5 linked regions of the Coturnix japonica genome follow. The protein of the gene in region 2 interacts with the protein of the main gene of each other region in a biochemical or structural test. Links are inferred from orthologs where the notes say so. Each region holds a gene or a part of one and is shown on either strand. Other genes may lie near its edges.

Region 1 (4,115 bases), on a different chromosome or scaffold from region 2:
GGTGATAGCAGCACTTTCTGATGATGTAAACACGCGCTGCAGAGCTCCCCTCCGCCAAACCGCTCCCAAAGAGAGCACTGATTTATGGCCTGCCCCCCGCTCCCCCCGCGGCTGCTGTGAGCTTAATCCCGGGCTGCGGATCCGACATAAATCACTTGATTAAAAGCCCTACTTAATTTAGGAGAGGGGGGCTGGGGGGGAGAGCGGCTGATCGATTTAATTTACACATGGAAATAGCAACAAGCAGATGCTTTTAAAAGAGCCGATGAGACGGAGCTGCGACCCAGAGCCGTGGTGCATTAAGCAGCACATGGCCACGGATGTGGGCACAGCACCATTAGGGTATGGGGTCAGAGACGAACCCAACCACTGCGGGTCCACCAGACCAAGGCTCAGCTCCTTTGGGGGTACAGCAGCAGGGAGAGGGTTAACATAACCCTGACCCTAACCCTGATCCTTATCCCCCATCTCTATCACTGGAGCCTGAGCCCAGCTGGAAGCCCGAGCCCTTGGCGAGGCCATTGGTGTGCAGCATCCAGCACATCTGGAAGCACCCCCGCATCACAGCCACGTGCACTGACTGCTTTGGTAGCACAGGAGGTGAAAGTTGAGGGTTTCTGGTTGTTGGATGATGGGGTGTATTTATAAGGAGCCGTCCCCAAGCCTGGAGCAAAGGGGCAGCAGCTTCCCAGCACCCCAAGCATCTCCCAGCACAATGGATGGGGATGGCAAAAGGCACCTCTTGGTTAAAGTCTTTAATAATTACAAGAATTCCAGATTCATTACAGAAGAGTTTACAACAAATAATATTTCTCCATACAAAGGCAAAATAAACTTTTCAAGTAATAGCGCCCTGACTCCGCGATCCCAGAGCCAGGGACCGGAGAAAGGGGTAGGAGGGGAGGGGGGGGGGAAGGCAAGGACACAGCGGACCCCATGGCCCCCCCCTCCCCATGGGGTGGTCTGGGTAAGGCACAGCCCCGGGGTGTGGAGCTGGGGCTGCACCCTGCCCCACTGCAGCCCCCCCCGGGGGGGGGGAGGGAAAGGCCATTGGCACCGTGGCCACGTGCTCCCATAAAGGCATCGACACGTTATTATTATGGTTTAATACAACCCCATATAAAACTGAAGCAGCAGCAGCAATTCTTATCGAGGGATCTAAAACTGAAACAGGGTCGGGAACATAATTTAAAAAAATAAAAACAGCAAATGTAGCAAAATATATGGATTTTTTTTTCTTTTTTTTTTCTTTTTTTCTTTTTGTTTTTTTTTTTTGTTTTAATATATAGCAACTGATATCTACCAGCCACTAGTACCTTCCTACCAAACTGGTATAGCTCTGGTAACAACCCTTTTAAAAAGACATGTAAATATATATTCATATTTATACATATTTTAGCTATGTACACGGGACTTCTGGCATAGCACTGATGCATGGGGCGCTCCATGTGTGGGGCTGGGCAGCACTGGGATGCTCACAGTGTGCATAGGCCCCATAGGGCAGCGCCACGTGGTGATGTCCAAGCACAGACCTCATGGGAAAGGTTTAAATGGATGATAATAGAAAGAATAGAGCCAACCAAGAGGCAAACAGCAAACGAAACCTTTGGGTAGAGTTCCCTGCGGAGGTGCCGGGTGGGCACAGCTGAGTGTGGAGCCTCAGTGCCGCTTTAGAGCTGCGTGGCTGTGTGGGGGGCAGCGAGGCAGGCAGGGCTCGTCGGGCAGTGGGTCGTGGGAGAACACCGAGTCCTCCCCCGAGGAGCAGGTGGAGCTGCGTGTGGCTGGGAAGCCGGGTGAGTACTGATCCAATGGCACCGACAGGTCCAGGTACTCCTGCAAGGGATAAGCTTAAGGGGGGGGATTCTCTGTGGGGCACAGAGGGGCGTGGGGGTCTCTCCTACCTGGTTGGAGGTCATGGCCACGATCCTGTCCAGGTCCTCCACCAGCTGCTTGAATGTGGGGCGCTGGGAGGGCACGGCGTGCCAGCAGTCGCGCATCATCATGTACCTGTATGGGGTGGGGGGAGCCAAGAGCATCCCTCAGCAGTGTGCAGTGTGTGGGGCTCAGCCCCCCAAGGAAGGATGTGGGGCTGCTGGGTGAGGGTGTAACCCTGGGGTCACTGTGAGATTCACCCCCAGAGTGAGCGACAGCAAAGGGAGATGTGATGTCGGTCATCACAAATAGATTTAGCTGATGTTTTGCAGTTAAGGGGACTGCTGCAAAAGTAATTCTGAGCATCTGCCTTCCCCATCCTGCACCTGCATGCACCCAGGACAGAGCATGAGCTCAGCATGGATGGCACCATAGGCCATCACCCACTGCCCCCCCAGCACTCACAGCTCGTTGGTGCAGTTGCTGGGCTTGTCCATCCTGTGTCCCTCCTTCAGCAGCTTAAAAAGCTCCTCCACGGGCACACCAGGGTATGGCGAGCCACCCAGCGTGAAGATCTCCCACAGCAGAACACCAAAGGACCAACTGCAGGCAGACATATGGGCACAGCATGAGCCACCATGGGCAACACAGAGAGCTCCGGGTGCTCAGCTACACCAGGAGCAGCACCCTGTACTCACACATCACTCTGATGAGTGTATATTCGGTCAAACAGAGCCTCCGGGGCCATCCACTTCACTGGCAAACGGCCCTGTGACAAGAGAACCCCATCAGCTCAGCACTGCCCATGGGGGCGGCCAGGGGCTGCGTGGCACAACAGGATCAAACCACTCACATTTGTTGTTTTCTTGTAGTAATCGATGTGGTGGATGTCACGGGCCAGCCCGAAGTCAGCGATCTTCATCACGTTGTCCTCGGTTACCAGCACATTCCTGGCTGCCAAGTCTCGATGGATGCACTGTGCAGAATATGGGGCTGTCAGATGATGCCCCACATCCCCATCCCTGCACACCCACAGTGAGGGGTTCACACCTTTTTGGAGGCCAGGTACTCCATGCCTCTTGCCAACTGGTACGTGCAGGATACCAGGTCCTTGAAGGAGAGCTGCTCCTCAGGGACACGAGTGGGGTTGTAGCAATACTCCATGCCTGGCGGGCGCCGTGCCTGCAGGTACTCACGCAGGTTGCCTTTGCTGGCGTACTCCACGATGACATAGAGGGGCCCTATGGGATAGTGGGGTTAAGTCATGTGCCAGGACCCCACAGCTGCCCCAATGGGGGGCACAGTGCTGGGAGCCCCCCCTCGCCCGCTCACCGTCCTGTGTGCAGGCCCCCAGCAGGTTGATGATGTTCTTGTGCTTGCCAATCATCTTCATCATCTCCATCTCAGAGATGAGGTCAGACAAGTCCTTCTCTGTGGCATCGGCTGTGGCAGCAAAGGCAGCAGTCAGGGAGGCTGGCCTGGAACCCCACACCATACACACACAGACCCGATCCCATCCCCTCTTACACTTGAGCATCTTTACAGCCACTTTGGTGACACGGTTTGGCTTGTCCTTGTCCAGGCCGATGGCCTCGGCCAGCACCACCTGCCCAAAGCAGCCTTCTCCCAACGGCTTGCCCAGGATCAGTCTGGTGGGAAGACAGACAGACATAATGCCGTGCTGGGACAGCAGGACGGCCACCACACTCAGTGCCATCACCTCAGTGCCATCACCTTGCCCCATCCATCCCATCCCACCTCAACCCATCCCATCCCACCTCAACCCATCCCATCCCACCTCAACCCATCCCATCCCACCTCACCCCACCTCAACCCATCTCAACCCATCACAGCCCACCTAAATCCATCCCATCTCATCCCACCTCATCCCATCCCATCCCATCACACTCCACCTTAACCCATCTCATCCCATCACACCCCACCTCATCCCACCTCATCCCATCCCATCCCATCCCATCACACCCCACCTCAACTCACACCATCCCATCTTATCCCACCCTACCCCACTCCATCCCATCCCCACCTGTCCCTTGGCAGCTCCCAGCGTGGGTCCTCGGGCAGCTCATACTCGGATACACCGGCCAACATGGGGGTTCCACTGGAGGAGAGCCGTGAGGGCCTCACCAACATCACACCCGAGTTCATGGAGGAGCTGGAGTCAGCCGACACCTGCAGCAGGGCTGTGGGTTACCTTCACGCAGTGCTGGGGCCACGGCCACCCG
Region 2 (4,853 bases):
GTCCCATGGACAATCCTGATGGGCCACGTCCTCACTCTGCGTCCTCATCACAGCACAGCAGCATCGCTTCAGTCCCCTCCCATGGGACACAGAGCTCTCTGGAGGAGCAGATCTCAGCCCAAGAGCAGTGCCTGCATTCCCAGGGCTGCTGAACACCAAGGAAGGCTGTGCCCTTTCCTTCAGGGCAGCAACCACGTGCAGACCTGGCCTCCATCTGCAATCTGCCAGATAGGCAGCAGGCCGCCCTCCTGCTCTCCTGGAGCCATAGGACACCGATGGCCATCGCTGGTGGCCGCACGCTGCGCCCTGATAAGATAACGGGGCCGAGCGGGCGCTGTGCTGGCACTGATAGCAGCGACCACCCCGTGGTGCACACAGCAGTGCAAAGGGCAGCAGAGGTCAGCAGCAGGGGGGGGCTGCTCTGCTAATGGGGCACACACATTCCCAGTCCTGATGGGAATCCAGGGCTTTCTCGAGGTGTTTACCCCCTTCCTCCCCTCCTTTCTCTCTCTCCTATAAAACAAACATCTGCTCCAAATTTGCAGCTCGTGCTCTGAGCAAACTCTCCGAGTTTTCAGACTCGGTTCAAGGAAAACAGATCAATTAGGAGCCGGCCCGCAACCCCCCCAGGATGCAGAGTTATGAAGGCAGGACCTTCTTACATTAAAAAAGAATTACATAACACAGGAAGTAGGGGGGAAAAAAAAGTGCATAAAAGACAAAAGGCTCCGGGGATCAGCTGTGCTGAGCTTTGGGTGATTAACTAAAGGCACAGAAAATGATCAGAGCTCTTCCCACCGAAGCAGCCCGGCCCTCAGCGGGGTTATTAGCAAGAAGGTGATGCGCTGATAATGGGAGCTGGCTGAAAACATTGGGCGTAGAGACAAATATTGATGGAGAAATGGCTCCGTGTGTGTGTGTGTGTGTGTGTGTGTGTGTGCACAGATTGTGCTTTTTGTACACGATGTTGGGTTTGGAAAGGCACAGAGATGGAGCTCACAGCTTTCCAAGCGAGATGCTCCCCCCAGTCTGACCCAACCCCAGAGCAGCCCAACGAGGAGCAGAGATGGGCCCATGCACACAGAGGAGGTTCTTCATCCCGGCCCAGCTGGCGGTGCCGCTGCTGAGTCAGAGCTGCTGCTGCTGGGAGGGCAGGGGACCCGCTGGCAGTGAGTGCTGCCCATCACACAAGGTCACTCTTTATGTGACACAAGGCTCTACACAAGGGTCACCCAGCCAGGCCCCCCCTCCTCCTGGCACCAAGGTATCGCACTGACATCCCAACCAGGGTCACGCTAACAGTGACCTGCCTGAGCCTCTGTGTGTACTGAGCACCAGCACTGATGATGCCCAACCCAACATCCCTCCGACCCAACCTCACTGCTGCTGATGGCAGGACGTCCTGCACACAGAGCTTTGCTGCTGCACCGAACACTCACGGAGATGAAACTCTCCCACAGAGGGATGTGACCCAAGTCTGAGAGCTCTGTGTTACTTGTAGACGCTCCCTCATTTTGAAATGGGCCGAAGGATCATTAAGGTTTGAAAAGACCACTAAGATCCCCAGCCCGTCCCACCGTGCTCACTGAGGGCTCCATCCATGCTGTGCCATGAGCACAGAACGGCTGGTCCCAGCAGTAGAGTGCACCGCATGGGAGGGAACCTCAGCTTGGAGTTCAACAACCCCCGTTTTTCTTTAGCTCAAAACCTATGGATCTTTACAGTTATGCTTATTTGATCATCTCTGTCCCTGGGATGAACCCTCTGCTTTTTTCTGCCCCGCTCCTGGCTGTTGGCAGAGCAGCAGAACCCCACAACCACATCAACGGCACAGCTGAGGTTTGGGGGATGGATGGATCCCTTGGAAGGCACAGCCCCAGCCCCACAAAGACTCATGAGGGTCTGTCCGTGGGGAGGAGGGAGCCTGAAAGCTCCGTGGGGAGATGGGAGAGATGTTGTATCTCACCATCCCTATATGGGGCGGCCATTGGGAGACACAGCGCTGGAGATGGGGACTGAGAGCACAGAGCAGGACAGCAGCACCGGGAAGTTTCCCAGCTCTGGGCCTCCCCCCGCCCCTTCCCACCTCTCCCTGTGGTCTCCCACAGCTCTGACAAATCTCTGCCCCCGCAAAGCACCGTGTGCGGGAAAGAGCCGCCGCCAACCGCGTCCCACTGCAACCCTACAGCCCTGCAACCCTACAGCCCTGCAACCCTACAGCCCTGCAACCCTACAGCCCTGCAACTCTGCCGGGGGCTGCAGCGAACCCGGCGGTGCCGAACCCGGCGGTTCCCCATCCTCGGCCGCGCTCGGCCCCGGTTTACGCTCCTTCCATCCCATCCATCTGTTGCGCTCGGTCGCAGCACACAGGACGCTCGTGCAGCCCCTTTCGGCAACGAATCCCGCACGGAGCCGGGACGGATCCGAACCGAACCACACGGTGCGGAGGGGCTCGGGCTGCCCCAAGATGGGGGGGGGGGCACCGAAACCGGACACCGTCACGTGCGGCCGCGGGATGCGCACGGAGCTGCCCGGGGGATGGTCGGGGGGCGGAGGGTGCGGGGCTCCTTTTGTCTTTCTCCCCCCCAACCCCCTGTTCGCTTTTTCCCTCCCCTCCCCGCCGAGCCGGGGGTGGGTGAGTGGGGGCGGGAGGGTGCGGGGAGGTTCCCACCGCCCCCAGCCCGCAGGAAGCAGGAACACCTCGTCCTGCTTTTCCTGCCCGGTGCCGCGTTCCCAGGGCGGGGAGGCGCTGCTTGGAGCTGGGGGGTGGTCTCGGTTCTCACTCACCGGCTCCCTCGGTCTTGTCGGAGCCGCGGCTCCAGGTGACCTGCCGCGTTTCCAGCTTCACCTGGAAAGTTTTCCTCTCGGGCCGCTGCGACTTTTTGGAGTAGAAGAGGGTCATGACGGTGCCCACCTCCAGGCTGCGGCACAGATGAGCCGCCTCCGCCTCGCTGGGCGCCCCCGACCCCGCCGCCATCAGCGCCCGCCGCTTGCACCGCGCTGCAACGCGAACAAAGGGGAGCGGAGCGCCCGCAGCGCCGCCACCGCGCCCCGACCCGCGGCCGGGAGCTGCGGGAGGAGGAGGAGGAGGAGCCGAGGGGCGGAGCGCGGCCGACGGACGGCGCCTCCACGCGTGGGGCCCGAGACGTGCGGGGGAGGCGGGGAGCGGCTCGTGGGTGGGTGGGTTGGGGCCGCCGCTCAGCTCCGCTTCAGGCGGACCCACGCGTGGGTAAAGCTGTTGAGATGAAGCGCCTCGAGGTGGCTGTGGGCACGGAGGAGCAGGTGATGGCGGTGGCGGCTGCCCGGGGCTGCGGGCATAGAACCCCCCTGTCCCCCATCCCGGCCCCCCGGCCGCGCTCAGCTGGCTGCCAGATGTGAGCGGCCAAACGCGGTGTGGGGGCCGTAGGGGCAGAGGGCACGGCAGTGGGTCAGCGAGGGGCTCGTAGCTCGCAGTGTCCCCCGGTGTGTGGGGCGGCCATGGGGGTGGGTGGCTGCCGGCACCCTGCAAAGTGAGCTGCTGCCTCTGTGCTTGTGCTCCACCAGGCTCCAAAGGGACACACTGTGAGCCATCCCTCCTACGTGAGCGCCCAGGAATCGCTGTGCACCGTGGCAGGAACCAGCACTAAGAAGCCCACCCCAGTCTCCAGCGAACAGCAGCACTGGGGCTGTTGTAGCCCAGGATGGAAGCGGTGCCAATATGGTGCTTCTCCTCCTGAGCTCTCCAAAGCCCTGCAGGGTTACTGCAGCCCCCGGATCCCTCCAAGAACACAGGCTGCTTTTGCCTCTTGGCTCACCTGGTTTCAATTTGCAGCCTGTGAGGCCACAGGGGGGATGGGGCTGCAGCCAGCAGGGTTTGCAGCCTTCCCTGTGCTGCCCGCAGCGCAGCTGGGCTGGCAGAGCAGATCCAGTTCCAAGGTGTTTCACCCTTTCTGCTCCCATCAGTGTTCGCTGCCTCAGTTTCCCCCATGGGAGAGTCGTGGGCTCAGCCCCAGCACTCAGCAGTGTGGGATGGGAGGTTGGTTGGGGCAGGCTGCAAAAAGAGATTTCTCACATGCTGTGTTCTATGGATACAAACCTCAACTCAGCCCTGCTGCGTCCATCCCAGCCCTGCCATCCCCCAGTGCTCTGCGTGGCTGTTGGGGTGGCTGAGCCCCTCTCCTGGTTATGGGGCAGGGTTTAGGGTTAGGATGGGGCCCTGTGTGACAGACCACACGGACAGCAACGCTCCGTTAAGTTGTAGGAATTTATTTTAAATAACCTACAGTTGATTAAAAGGGAATTCATGATAAAAATAGAAGATACTTGTTGGAGGAAAAGGCTGCAGGAAAATGGTCTTCGCACACACACTAACGCTAACAACGCCTCTAAAACTAATGATTATAGCAAAAAATAAAATAAAATAAAACAACAAAAAAAAAAAGGGTTTCACATTAAAATTCTGCTTTGTCATTTTTTAAAAGTTTTTTTTTTTTGTCTTTTTTTTTTTGTACACAATTACAAAAAGGAAAGAAATAAAACCAAAATAAACCCCCCCCAAAAACCCTCCCCAAAAATAAAAGCCCTCAATGGTGCTGATTTGCCTTTAGGGATCGATGCTCGTTTCCCTCGAAATTTTTGACCTGTGAAACTTCTTATTTCTTTTTTTACACGATAAAATCTTTCAAGTAAAAGAGAGAGAAGGGGGGTGGGGGGGAGAGGAGGGGCTTATTGAAAATCAAAGTGGGGAGGGGAAGGAAAAAGTCTGACAAACCTAAAAGGAAATATTCCTGAAGCGTACAGAGCGCTCACAGCAAAGCGTGACGGGAACGGCGCTCCCTGCCCATTCATTGCATTGGTGCTGGGATCCCATCGCA
Region 3 (4,247 bases), on a different chromosome or scaffold from region 2:
GCCAGTATTCTTCACCACAAGTAAAGCAGCGAGCTCTCCATAGTCTTAAACATGGACAACTGCCTCTGCCCAAACCATACAATGCTGTCACTTCCCTCAAAAGATGCATCTCTATTTCTATCCATGCTTGCCTAGCATCTGAATTTCCTCTTTGTGGACCTGAGTCTGCATTCTACCGTGGCATTTCAGCAGCATTAAATTACATGTGCTTAAATCTTTTATCATGTAACAGACTGCAGCCTTTGTGAAGTGAAGAAATTAAAATGGGGGATAAAAGCAAAAGCTATCAAGAGCTATATTGAAGTATTAGAAAAGGAAAGCACTCTCCCACTATCTCTGGTAGACAGTGCTGTGCTAATGTTAAAGCTCCCAAATGCACTTTTTTTGTGTACAAAACCAGCTGGTTGTAGCTTATACAGGATAAGAGTCTGTGTGTGGTATGGCTATGTGTGCCATTTATGAATTTTCACATTTCATGAACCCAAACTGAGTAAATAAGGGTCTAAAAGTACTGACAAAGACTTGCTGATAGATGAGCTCATCCATTTTCAAAGGGATCACAGCAGGGTGTTTAAAATGTCCTCCACCAAACATTTCCTGGAGACCTTTCCATAGTGTTTCTATACACATCTATATGCACACACATTCACTATTTCAGAGCCAACAATTCTGAAAATGCTACATTCTCCTGGGGTAGCATTAACCGTGTGATGGCTCCTTTCCACGTCGGGATATTCTATGATTTCAGTGCAGTCTGCAACCCTTGGTCCTTACAGTTCATTGGTGCAGTTGGCAGGTTTATCCATTCGGTGCCCTTCTTTAAGCAGCTTAAAAAGTTCCTCCACGGGGATTCCTGGGTAGGGAGACCCTCCCAAGGTGAAGATCTCCCACATTAGCACACCAAACGACCATCTGCAAAAGAAAGATAAAACAGCATTAGGAAAATTGCCTTCCCGCTGTAAACAGAGTCATTTAGTTATTTGTTTATTTGTTTGGTAAGAAAACGAAGGAGGGAGAACTTCAGCCAGTTTTCCTGCCTGCTCCCCACCTCCAGAGCTGCCTCGCCACGTCCCGCTGGCAGCCATGGGCCCACTGCCAGGCTTCTCTGCCAGGTAAGCAACAGCGCAGAGCCTGCCCTGGCCCCGAGCTGCTCTGCAGTTCTGCTAGCTTTGCAGCAGTGTATTTTAGTAAACTGTTTGCACAAACTTACAATAATATTATCCAAAGGCACCGTGGGGCCAAAACGTCTCCCAGTTCCAACACCGAAATGCCCGTGCTCTGCGCTTGTTGAGAGCTCACAATGACTTCCAGCTCTAAACCAGCCAAGCCGTTTACTTCACATTCACTTAAATATTTTGTCAAGATGTTATTTTAAAGCAAAAGTTGGCTCCACCCTTAACCTGTGTATATAGCTTCCTTCATAAATAACATAAAGATGGCAGGAAAGGCCTCGGTAAATGCTTTTCTTAAGGAGAGAACAACTTGAGAAGAGCATCCAAGTTAAAGGAGAAGGCACCTCTTATTTTCTCTACCCTGCTCCTTTCTATTTTAACTCTGTGCTGTCATGCATAAGCTTTTACACCTGTGCTGGGAAGCATCCAGCCTTTTACGGCTAACAGCTTCTCTTGGACAAATAAAAAGCATAAGATCTTCATCTGCACTGAGTAAAAAATACACATTTACTTTGAGCTCAATGCATGCGAGCACTGAGGATGGGCCCAGGAACTTTAATAGGAAGCAGAATTATGGGAGCTGTTGCATCAGCCAGCTACACCACGCACATTACAAGATCCTGAAGTGCCAGAGATCCAATGATTTCCTTCTGTATGTGAAGCACTGCTGGGATGCAGCATCTCTAAAATCTGGGAAAGCACTTCTGGTATATCCAGGCTATGTTTTACTGTACACAACCACAGCACAAATTTTCACAAGATTCTTTTTTCTTTTTTTTCTTCTTTCTTTTCCCTCTCTTCATTTTGTGTTGTTTTTTTTTTAACCTGAAGGAAGTGCAGAGTACATCGAAAGCCAAGCAAATTAGATAGACTCTTTGTAGCTGCACATCCGTAAATAAGTTCAAGGGGGGAAACTTCCGCACTGACAGAAGGAGGTTAGCATTTTCCACCTTTCATGTGCTTTGAAGCCAGGCAGATTAGTAACAGAGCACTGGTTAGCAGTCTACCATAAAATCCTCACTTTCTAAGGGCAAGTCCTGTTCCATCTATTAATATGTGAAACAAAATGAAAACGCTTAAAGGGAAAGGATAGCAGGAAAATACATTCTGAAATATGCCAAACTTTAAGGAACGTGAACCAGGTTCCCCTCCTGCCCTTCCAGACTACACAAATAAAGTCACTTACACATCGCTTTGGTGCGTGTAAACTCTGTCAAACAGAGCTTCTGGAGCCATCCACTTTACTGGAAGCCGTCCCTGTATATTTGGAGGAGAAGGAAAGAGGAATGAAAATGAAAGTCCAAAATGAAGATTTTAACACTGATTTTTGTTTCAAATAAACACACAGTTTACTTCAAAAACTTTCATTAAAATAATAATAAAATACCCTCTTATAATTGAGTCTGCTTGCACAAAGTCCATTCACTGAACCCAAGAATTTCATTTTCCTTTCCCCAAAGCCTGCAGCCACAGCTGCCTGTTGCTCTGCATAAAAGCTCTGCTTTGCTTAGAGCCAAGGAGCTGTACCAAATTTGATATGAAATGGATTCAGATCCCCTCCAGCGCCAACAAATCCCTACCTGGCTGCTCCGCCTTTTGGAACTACAAGGACTCTGATAATTACTGTTCAAATGCCATTCATCACTCAGTGCTTTATTTTTATAAATGAGCCAGGCAATGTGATTAATTAATATTTCGTATTAATGCTATTTCGTATTAACAGAGTCTGAAGAACTGAAAGAATTCTGCAAAGTTCCCGTCTTAATTTGGGACAGGTTTAACAGCCAAACAACAACAGGTATTGAAAATCCATTTTCTCAAGCTTTAGACCAGCTTTAATGCTATGGTTATTCACATCCATGCACAGGCAAAATGCATAACCCTGTATTGTGGCACTACTACACAAACAGGACTTTTATTATGGTTACAGCTATCACTGTTTGTGCAGTGTTTTTCTTAATCCTAGGGCTGGTTCAAAATGAGCTAGAATCAAATTTCCACCTATTTCAAATGATTGGAGTCGAGGACGTACAACATGGGTAGTTGTATTCTAGCAGTTATAATAAATCATAAAAAATAGAGCCTATTTGTTTATCTTTTTAAACTAACTGTCACTCTAAGAGGGGGAAAGAATTGCATATGTCCTTGATGTCTGTTTTCTGTCTGATTAAAAGCAAGTCTGCTGGACAAGAAGCCCATTAAGATTATAACCATAGTTTTGAAGTGAAACATTGAAAGAAACACTTGTTCCCAGAGATAAGCAAATCATCCACTTACATTAGTAGTCTTTTTATAATAATCTATATTGTTGATGTCTCTGGCTAAACCGAAGTCTGCTATTTTCATGACATTATTTTCAGTAACCAAAACATTTCTTGCGGCAAGGTCTCGGTGGATGCACTGGAGAGAAAGACAAGACAAAAACACCCACTGAAATACAACACTGCAAAAAAAACCTGGAATTATTTCTAACCATAACTAAATCATAGATTTTAACCCAATTCCTTAGGTTGTAAAGCCACGTGTTTACTGCAAGCCCGTGCAGTATGATTGCTGTAGTTTCCCAGATACAGGGAACCCAGCATTTTCCTTGCAAATGCTGTTAATGAGAGTGTCACTGTGTGCTTCTCTTACATGATATTGGATCAACTGGACTAAAACCTGACAATCCGGATCAGCACAACCTTCTTTAATATGAAAGATCTTAAGAGATGTATCTCTAGTAAGTAATTCTTAGCCAGATGTCTGGGGTGTGTATGTTTACTTCAACCATGAGACTACGGCAATTTCACTTGGGAAAAAAAATAAAGGCCATTTGGGCTGGGCTGTTTGCTTTTCAAACAGCTCTGATACTGAAACTCCAACCAGTATTTCCCTCAGAATTTTTCTTCCTTCATGCCAGCATTATCCTGAAAACTTGGAGCTGATATTTCCGACATTGAAAGGAAGTTGTGGCAGCTCGGAGTATTATTCTAACCTTTAAGTAGGAATAACTTTTGGGGTTTAGACAGAAATCAGGCTTCTAAATCAGCATCAGCAGTGCCACAGTAGCAGAAGTAGCACAGGTCAGCCTTC
Region 4 (4,247 bases), on a different chromosome or scaffold from region 2:
TTTGGCATTGCAACTAACTATTGGCTCATCTCTCCATTTTGCAAACTTAATCATTGTTGAAGATTTTGTTCATACTTTGCCCTCACTGCACAGATTTCCTTATGGATTAGGTTTCGCAGCTCAGAGTTTGCATAATAATAATTGTCCACAAGCCAATAAAAGCATACGGAGTTGGCTGTGCTTGCACTGTAGGCTGAAACTGTCAGTCAACCCTATTTGTGCTTGTCAGTTCAGCAAGTCATGCCACAGAACTTGATGCCATTTTCAGTCTTTTTTCGAAATAGAATTACTACATACCTGTATATCTTGCAAAATTCTTAAATTGTGTCTTTTTTAAATAGTGTTGCTTTTTAACTGGAAAGTGTAAAATATAAGTTAATGTATCATAGCTTTATGAGAATGGAAGTGTCTCTTCTTAACTAGTGCTTATCATTCAATAAACAGTATTTTTTTGACATTAAAAATTGGAAAAGCTATTAAATTTAAGCTTGCTTAAGAATGTTTTATGCTTGTGTTCTTATATAGCAAAACCAGCTCCTCTAGAAATAAAACCTCTGCCCGAATGGGAGGAATTACAAGCCCCAGTTAGATCTCCTATCACCAGAAGCTTTGCGCGAGAGTAAGTTTCCTAGCTTTTCTTCATTTGGATTGTTTCTGTTGACTATAGCATTAATAATGTATATATACATCTGTGTTGTATTTTCAGCCTGTGTAATATAGATTCTTTTGGAACTGTGTGTATGTGTATGCATGCATTAAGACAGAAGTATGTCAATGTTAATTCTTATTTTTTAATAATGTATGTGAAGGACTGTGTAACCAAACAATGAGGCACTCTAGTAGTCTTGAATGACAATTTCAGCTCTAACGTGCTTATTTTTATTGTTTACCAGGAGGTTTAAGATATTCAAGATGTATTGTTTGTAAAATAATTCCTGGTAATTAGCTCCTCCAGGTTTCCCATGTCTCCCAGACCGGATTCAGTTCATAGCACAACTTCCAGCAGTGACTCGCACGACAGTGAAGAGAATTATGTATCCATGAATCCAAATCAGTCCACTGAAGACCCAGTATGTAAAATCTACATCTTAACTACTCTCTTCCTGTGCAGTCCTTACTTTTAAATCATGCAAACACAAATCCTTCCATTCAACATCACCTTCATTTGTATGTCTAGATCAAAATTTAAAAAAAAAGAAGAAAAAAAAAAACCTCTACTGCAATTGTAATTTTGATAAGATTTCATTGAGGAAGAGATGAGCATAATCATATATAGGGAATATGGTTAGCATACGTTCAGACTGCAAAATAGATCAGCAGATGACTTTATTTTTCTCTTCTGTAGAAACTGTCTTGTCTTCTGTAGATAGTTCTAGAGCATGCGACAGTTCAATATCAGGGCATCAAGGGAAATGAGCTATCATAGGTCCTCTGAGACAGGCTTAAAACCTTTATTAAAAAGACATTTGAGAAATGTGGAGGGTCCGTGGCAGTGGGAGGGGAAGTTTGATACGTTGCTTATTTTTCCCCTTTTGGGGAGAACTTTTTGGATGGAGGTATCTCAAATATTTAGCATTCACTGAAGAGCTAGGTAAGAGAAGTTACTGATATGCTGTGGTTTTCTGTTCTAGTTTTCTTCAGGAGAGAGTACAAGGGGGAAAAAAAAAAAAAAAAAAAAAAAAAGTTAAGTGAAAGGTTAGCAGTAAACCTAGGCCTAAAATGAAACCTAATCCATTCAATCCTTGAAGCTCTGGGGGAAAACCTGCACCGCTACCTCGGTTTTTGGGTCAGAGTAGTTTTAGTGTGATGACCATCTTTCTGCTGCTTCGACTTCTTATTAGGGAATATGTTTTTCGTCTTTAAAGTTGTATCAAGCTATGGTTCTTTGAGGCAGAATCTGCTTACCTCTGTTTTTGTTCTTTTTATTACTCTGCTGCCTTCTATGGCATGTGCTATCCCATTTCACTTAACCCTTGGCTCTTCACAGTGCTGCTTGCTACCCTATTCCCTGCTGTCCCAGATACCCTCCCTGGTCTCCTCCAGTCTCTTTCCCCTTGTGCTCTGTAGCTGCCTGTGGATACCACCTTTTACGACCCCCCTGAGTGAGCCCCACCTGCTGATTTCTCTTTGGCACTTGCGACTCAGTGCAAGCTCACGAGCCTGCAGGAGGTCCTGGCTCATGCTTAGATCAATGTCTGTCAGACCTGACAGCAGCACAGGCAGGCTTCCTAGGTGAAGTGCGCTTCAGCTGTGGGGAGCCAGTGATGTAAAAACTTAGCTCCTCACAGAGTACTGTGCAAGAGGCACTGGTAAGTAATCAGTAACGTCCCCTTATACAGATGCAATAAATGTCCTTTTTTGCAAAGGTTTGGAATTGCCTCTACCCACAGTAAAACTGCAGCATTGCAATTAGAAGTGGGAATTTCTGCTGATTCTTACAGTGGGTGCTAAGATAGTGTTTTTAGTGTTGCAGCTAAGACAGCCTATCATCAGTATCCTTCTGTTTGCTTGCACCATTCATTTTCCTGGGTTGTTCTACAGATTTCCTTTCATTCTCATTTAAATGTATTTTAAGTTTGGTTTCTTATACCTGTGTTCTACCTGTTTAGTTTGCTTAAGATAAAAAGATGTTTAATGACTAAGAGTTTTTTATTATTATTATTATGCTGGAAACCTTAACACAGATGCTGCTTTTATGTTAAATATGTAGAAATATATTTAAAGAATTGGGGTGACAAGAACTTTGCCTGTTGTTTGTTTGTCATTGTAACCACTTAATACGTTAGATGATACAGACATAATGTATAACAGCATGAATTTTAAAGGCCCGGCCTGTTAAGCTCTAACCAATAAAATATTTTATTTCCTAGAGAATCTGAATATTTCCAGGTATCTCAAAGCCCTTTTTAAAAATATGCATAGACTTTTCAGAATTTATTTATTTCATTTTTTGCTTCAGCTACATCTCAGTGGGAACTCCATACTTTTAAAATCCTTTTCTGTCATCAGCTTTGAATCATTTCATTTGGACACACTGCACTCCTGTTTTATTTAATAAAATCAGCGATGTTCTGCTCTCTCTTTCAAGTTGCTGTCAGCCTTACCCTTCTGTCTTTCCTTCTGCCTTCCTCTTCATTTTTTGCTGACTGCTGCCCTCTGTCTTCCTTTTTTTTCTTTATCTTTTAGAGAAGAGTCCTTCTATTGTACTGTTCCTATAACACCTGTTAAGAGGGAGGGATCAGGCTGGGAGAGGACAGAGGAGGTGAGGTTGTAAAAGTCTGGGCTAATTGAAATGTAGGTATATGCAATACAACTTCAGTTTAGGCAGTCCTGCACAAATTATCCAAAGTGATAATCTTTTAGTTTTGTTAACTTGAATAATGCATTTTGGTTTTAAGCTTAGTTATGATAGATTCGAGTGAAACTGAAAAGTCTTGTTTGAAGCTTTGCTACCATTGAAAGGCTGAAACCTTCTAAAATATATAATGGCCATTTAAAGTTTTTTGTTGTTGTTGTTGTTTGGGTTTTTTTTAAATTGTAATTAAGAAATGTTAAACTTGAGACGTGTAACACCAAAACAACTCCCTTATTACCTCATGATATGAAAGGGGTATTAGGTGGAAGGTACAGATTGATTTGATGACAATCTTAATTATGGGGGGTGGTTTTTGGTTTCCTTCCGTCCATTCCCTTTGGCTTTTGATTTTGTCCCAGGCTTAACGTTGTTCTGTTTCTGTTTAATTTAACTGTATCTATATAACATCAACAAAACTTGCATGGTTTAACTGGGTGTAAAAACTCAGTTCTTTAACCTTCAATGTTTTGACAGGTTATAATAAGCATATTTGATAATTTGGATTGTTAGCATGTACGTTTGCAGCTGAAGTTCTCTATGTTACAATTTCAGAATCTGTTTGGTAGCAACAGTCTTGATGGAGGAAGCAGCCCCATGGTAAAACCTAAAGGAGATAAGCAAGTAGAATATTTAGATCTGGACCTAGATTCGGGAAAATCTACCCCACCTCGTAAGGTAAGCAAGTCCTGACTTTTCAAATGACTGGCATTAACAGCTTGGAATTTCTTTACAAGTAGCTGCTGGGAAAGAGCCTCCAGCAAGATCGCCCCATTTAGTTTATCCAAAGGTCAATCAGAGGGGCTCTTTCAGACTCTTCAGATAAACCTGTGCTTGTTTTGAATCTGTTCGGTATATGTACTTAATTTTCTAGTAAAGAAATTATTAGTTTAAC
Region 5 (4,247 bases), on a different chromosome or scaffold from region 2:
TTAAAAACAACCTTTGCATAAAACCTCTTATTGTACACCTGTATCAGAAGAAGCAGAACATATATAGGAGATACATGACACAGTGCTGTTTTTCGCATCCCATGCACCCCATTCCCCAGCACGTGCAGACAGGCAGCACTGAACCTACCAGTACCACTGAATCTACCAGTGCTGAAACCAGAAGGATTTTATCTTATGTGGGGAGCTCAGATGTCGGTCACTGGAGCACTAAACCTACCACAGCCTGGGGTCAAAGGAGCTTCACACGGACAGAATTCACTGGTTAAGTTACATTCTCATTGGCGGTTCCTCACTGTGCACACCAGAAGGGCTCAGGGAACTGTCTTTGCTGCCCAATGGCTTTGCAGAGTGTTCTACTAACCCAAATTCTCAGGCAGGAAAAAAAAGTCAAGCAAGACTGATCCCTTATAACAGTCTTTCAATAAGTGAGTATAGACCCCTCACATATCCTTAAATTATATATCATTTATTGAAATATAGAGATCTTTATTTACAGGATTTGATTTTTCAAAGACAAAATATCAACAGGGGCATTTTGTAATACATTTTGTGCCTACCATCACTCGGGCTAGTTTGCCCTTCTTCAAATATTTCACAACAACCACCATTTTGGAAACACTTCCTTTTTTATTATTCTAAAATATAACTTTTGGACATTCAAAGTGCAACAGTTACGTGCCTGTGGAATATATCACAGTTAAAAAAAATATAAACAAAGGCAGTGATATAGCTGTCATAAATGTTTTGGCAGTATTCTAAAAGTCTATATAAAAATACTTATATACATATTGATGTATAACATCACCATATCTCACGTCCTTCACCATGTAATAGGACCATTTTGTACAAGCTGCAGACCACACTGTAAGGAATTGGTTGGCCATTCCAAATCAAATGCTGTGATAGGCTAACACTGATTGTCATTATAAGATTACCTTAGAGTAAGATTTGGGACTATCTTTTCCAGTGGCTTCTCAAAAATTAAGCCATAAACTAAAATGTTGGTAATACTGAAAATATTGTAAAACTAAAGAATCATCTCCTCCCACTTCTCCCTCTCTAATAAATCCCACTCTGCCTCTGCCTCTCATTCCAGTTTATCGGCAAGTTTATTGGATTCCACCCTGAAATAAGCTGGGTTTGGCTAGACTCATGCCACAGGTAAAATTAATGTATACAAACACTCATGAGCGGCTCTGGTTCACATCCACCATTTTGGTCTAGCCCCAATGTATGTTGTGCAATACAGAATGAAATCAATGAGAGGAAGGGGAGACCATGGGAAAATGTCCTTGTATTCCAGTAACTGGTATAGTAAAACATGCCAGGCCTGATTTTCAAACCCCGAAGAACACTGGGCCATGTGCAAAAGTGCAGGTGAAATCGCTTGCCTAATTTGAGCATGCAGTTGTAATGACTACACATGCAAATTAAGGCATGTGCGGTCCCAAATGGCCATTCAGATATCTGGGATATCCAGTAGACAATTTGTGTTTCCTCAATTTATAGTTCATAACTGGAGGGGGACTTTGCATCATCTTGTGTGTCCAGGCTATCCCTTCAAGAGTCTTTATATTTCACAGTTGTCCCCATGCGGAGCTCAGAAAGACACTTGGTATTGGTCTGTTGATTGCAGAGAAAGGAGGACATGTCATTGCTCATGGTTTGTTATGATTGTCGAACATGACCAGGGCTGAAAATGCAGGTGCCTCACTTCAGGTCACGTTTCCACATCTGCAGGACATCTGTATGTGGCCACAACCAGGTGATATTTTTGAAACTCAGAGCCAAAATTATTTGCCTGTAGAAATGACAATATTACATTTATTTTTCTTAAATCCACAACCATCCATGAATGACGTGATCGGGAGTTGTATAGCTTTCCTTAGGGCCATTTCAAGGTAAAGCTCAGTTTGTTACTTAGATCCAGGTAGCTTGTGTTGTCAATTGCTGCTGGTCCATCTTTCATACTTCCTAGGAAAAGTACTTGAACGCAGAGATGAGTTTGTACCACATTTGCATTTGTTCCACCATGCCAGATGCTGAGCGCGTCCTGTGAGGCACTCATCGCACTGAATTAGAGTTAAGTTTGAAAGATGAGCACCAGAAAGGATGGGGCCCTTTGCAGTGATGTACCTTTCTTTCACGTGTAAGTCTTCCAAAACATAAAATATCAATAACACTGTACAGTGATAGCAGTAATCATAATACTTTGCTCTTGTAAGTGGTGTCAAAAAATAACTATTGCAGGCTGAGAGCAGGTTTGTTCTCATGCACCTTCATCCAGAAATCACACCTGAAGGCAATTACTATTTGTAGTTAGAGTCTGCAAAGATAATAGTAAGTTTTCTGCTTCTCTTTAAACTTCAAAATTAAGACAAGGATATTTGTTGCAGAACTATTTCTGCTTTTATCATCTGGAGTTCAAGTCTGGGAGAGGTGTCTTTTTTCCTTGAGCCGTTCAAAAATAAAATTGATTTTTCATACCTAATCCTGGAATAAGATTTCTTTTGAGAAACTATGAAACACTAACAATGGGATGTTGCTGTTGGTTTATCATGATCTTTCACTCTCCAAAATTTGGGAAATCTGGCATAAATTCAAATTAAAAAAAATTTTTTTTGAATGCTTATACGTTCTTTTAACTGGAGGACAATAATTGCTTCTAGTACAGCTGATTAGAAAAGCTGCTCAATTCAAAATAGAAAACTAAATCTTAGCATATTACAGGATGCAACTTCTCCATATTGCATAAGTTTTAGCTAGTCAGAGCAATTATCATACTACATAGGGCCTGATAAAGGTTGTTTCATCAAATTTTCAGGTCATGATTTTTTCCTTGTACTTAATAATATTTCTTGAGATTGCTCTTACTGAAGGACAGTGAATTATAAAATATAGGCTTAGTGTTACGGAAAACAGTAGTAGTATTATCATGAAAACAGCTATCTTCTATGGTTAATAAAGACTTACTAGGTTTCTAACACCTATTATAAACTGGTTTTTATTATTATTATTATTATTATTCCCCTTGCATTAATGTTAAAAAGTAACATGTTTTGTAGTACCGGTCAGTTTTTTGTGGTTTCAGACATTATTGGTCCAAAAGTGGTTTTCGCATGTTCTTCAATTCACATGATAGTTCAACAGCAGCTGACACTGAGATTGAGGGAAGAAGTGCACAAAATTCATGGGTGATCCTTTCTAAAATCCATGGAGTGTATTCAATGTGCACCTCAAAAGATCCTTGAGCTGATAGTTATTTACATAATTACAATGATGAAGTATTGCTGCAGTGGAAATTCTATCCATCAAAGTCATAGGAATGCCCTTGGAACACAAAACTGGTCTGTTTATGGCCTTTCCATCGTCCTCCACCAGCTGGAATGGCAAACAACACTGAGATGCTCATAAAGTACTGCAAGAAGCAACACTAACAAAATCCATCTTTGACAGTTCTCTCTCTTTCATTCTCAGGCTGATTCCTTTGCCCATCACTGGGCATCTCTCTGTACAAATCCATCTTCTCTTCACATCCTTGACATTGCAATGAAGTGGTTTTCTCTGTGTAACAGAAGTCTGTAGACAGCACAGTAAGTTTCCCTGCGTGCAGTTAGAAGGTGTCTGGGATTACAGGAAGCTGTCCTCCACCAGATCCGAGGAGTCAATCCCGATGTCATCCATCATGTCAATGTCCTCAATGGTCTCATCCTCTCTCTTGATAAAAGTAGAGCTACTGGAACCAGTTTCAATGGCGCTTTCTTCAGAAGTCTGGGAACTGGAAGAGACGAAGATCTCAGAGCTAAAATACACATTAAAAGGCACCACGTACCCCAATTTATGAATTGAACTGAACACCACATCACACAGAATCACACACAGAATAACCTAGGTTGGAAGGGACCTCAAGGATCATGAAGTTCCAACCCCCATGCCTGGCAGGGCAGGTTCAAAGTCATCGAGCTGTAGAGGCAAATGTAATGTAAAACATGCCAACTGAACCATCAGACAGTTGCTATGACTTGGTCAAGTTAGCAGCTGCCTTCCTCTGGCAGACACAGAGGAGCCAAAATAAGGTATTTCATATTGGAAACATTATGGCCAGTAATACTGCCACACTACACAGAACCTTCCTAATGCATATCTCCAACAGAGCCTAGGAAATGAATTGCGAAGTAGGATTCTAAGAAGTACTAATGAATATCACCAAATGCAACCCAGAAAGG

The links.
Region 1: the proteins of PLCG1 (region 2) and FGFR1 form a complex in vitro, tested with the Homo sapiens proteins (4 studies listed by BioGRID and IntAct, with this or other methods). The link is inferred for Coturnix japonica from reciprocal best matches to the Homo sapiens genes PLCG1 and FGFR1.
Region 3: the proteins of PLCG1 (region 2) and FGFR2 form a complex in vitro, tested with the Homo sapiens proteins (2 studies listed by BioGRID and IntAct). The link is inferred for Coturnix japonica from reciprocal best matches to the Homo sapiens genes PLCG1 and FGFR2.
Region 4: the proteins of PLCG1 (region 2) and GAB1 form a complex in vitro, tested with the Homo sapiens proteins (2 studies listed by BioGRID and IntAct, with this or other methods). The link is inferred for Coturnix japonica from reciprocal best matches to the Homo sapiens genes PLCG1 and GAB1.
Region 5: the proteins of PLCG1 (region 2) and PDGFRA form a complex in vitro, tested with the Homo sapiens proteins (2 studies listed by BioGRID, with this or other methods). The link is inferred for Coturnix japonica from reciprocal best matches to the Homo sapiens genes PLCG1 and PDGFRA.

What each region holds. Positions count from the first base shown.
Region 1 is NC_029537.1:3,706,881-3,710,995, forward strand, and holds the end of FGFR1 (fibroblast growth factor receptor 1), read right to left. Parts: intron 4,063-4,115; coding exon 3,917-4,062; intron 3,522-3,916; coding exon 3,400-3,521; intron 3,316-3,399; coding exon 3,205-3,315; intron 3,114-3,204; coding exon 2,923-3,113; intron 2,849-2,922; coding exon 2,726-2,848; intron 2,642-2,725; coding exon 2,571-2,641; intron 2,476-2,570; coding exon 2,338-2,475; intron 2,008-2,337; coding exon 1,902-2,007; intron 1,834-1,901; coding exon 1,660-1,833; 3' UTR 741-1,659; downstream 1-740. UniProt on the Homo sapiens protein: Tyrosine-protein kinase that acts as a cell-surface receptor for fibroblast growth factors and plays an essential role in the regulation of embryonic development, cell proliferation, differentiation and migration.
Region 2 is NC_029535.1:4,194,736-4,199,588, reverse strand, and holds the start of PLCG1 (1-phosphatidylinositol 4,5-bisphosphate phosphodiesterase gamma-1), read right to left. Parts: upstream 3,070-4,853; 5' UTR 2,978-3,069; coding exon 2,788-2,977; intron 1-2,787. UniProt on the Homo sapiens protein: Mediates the production of the second messenger molecules diacylglycerol (DAG) and inositol 1,4,5-trisphosphate (IP3). Plays an important role in the regulation of intracellular signaling cascades.
Region 3 is NC_029521.1:27,525,909-27,530,155, forward strand, and holds part of FGFR2 (fibroblast growth factor receptor 2), read right to left. Parts: intron 3,573-4,247; coding exon 3,450-3,572; intron 2,430-3,449; coding exon 2,359-2,429; intron 913-2,358; coding exon 775-912; intron 1-774. UniProt on the Homo sapiens protein: Tyrosine-protein kinase that acts as a cell-surface receptor for fibroblast growth factors and plays an essential role in the regulation of cell proliferation, differentiation, migration and apoptosis, and in the regulation of embryonic development.
Region 4 is NC_029519.1:26,860,320-26,864,566, forward strand, and holds part of GAB1 (GRB2-associated-binding protein 1), read left to right. Parts: intron 1-525; coding exon 526-619; intron 620-946; coding exon 947-1,070; intron 1,071-3,186; coding exon of another isoform or gene 3,187-3,262; intron 3,263-3,907; coding exon 3,908-4,030; intron 4,031-4,247. UniProt on the Homo sapiens protein: Adapter protein that plays a role in intracellular signaling cascades triggered by activated receptor-type kinases. Plays a role in FGFR1 signaling. Probably involved in signaling by the epidermal growth factor receptor (EGFR) and the insulin receptor (INSR).
Region 5 is NC_029519.1:59,003,323-59,007,569, forward strand, and holds the end of PDGFRA (platelet-derived growth factor receptor alpha), read right to left. Parts: intron 3,800-4,247; coding exon 3,652-3,799; 3' UTR 467-3,651; downstream 1-466. UniProt on the Homo sapiens protein: Tyrosine-protein kinase that acts as a cell-surface receptor for PDGFA, PDGFB and PDGFC and plays an essential role in the regulation of embryonic development, cell proliferation, survival and chemotaxis.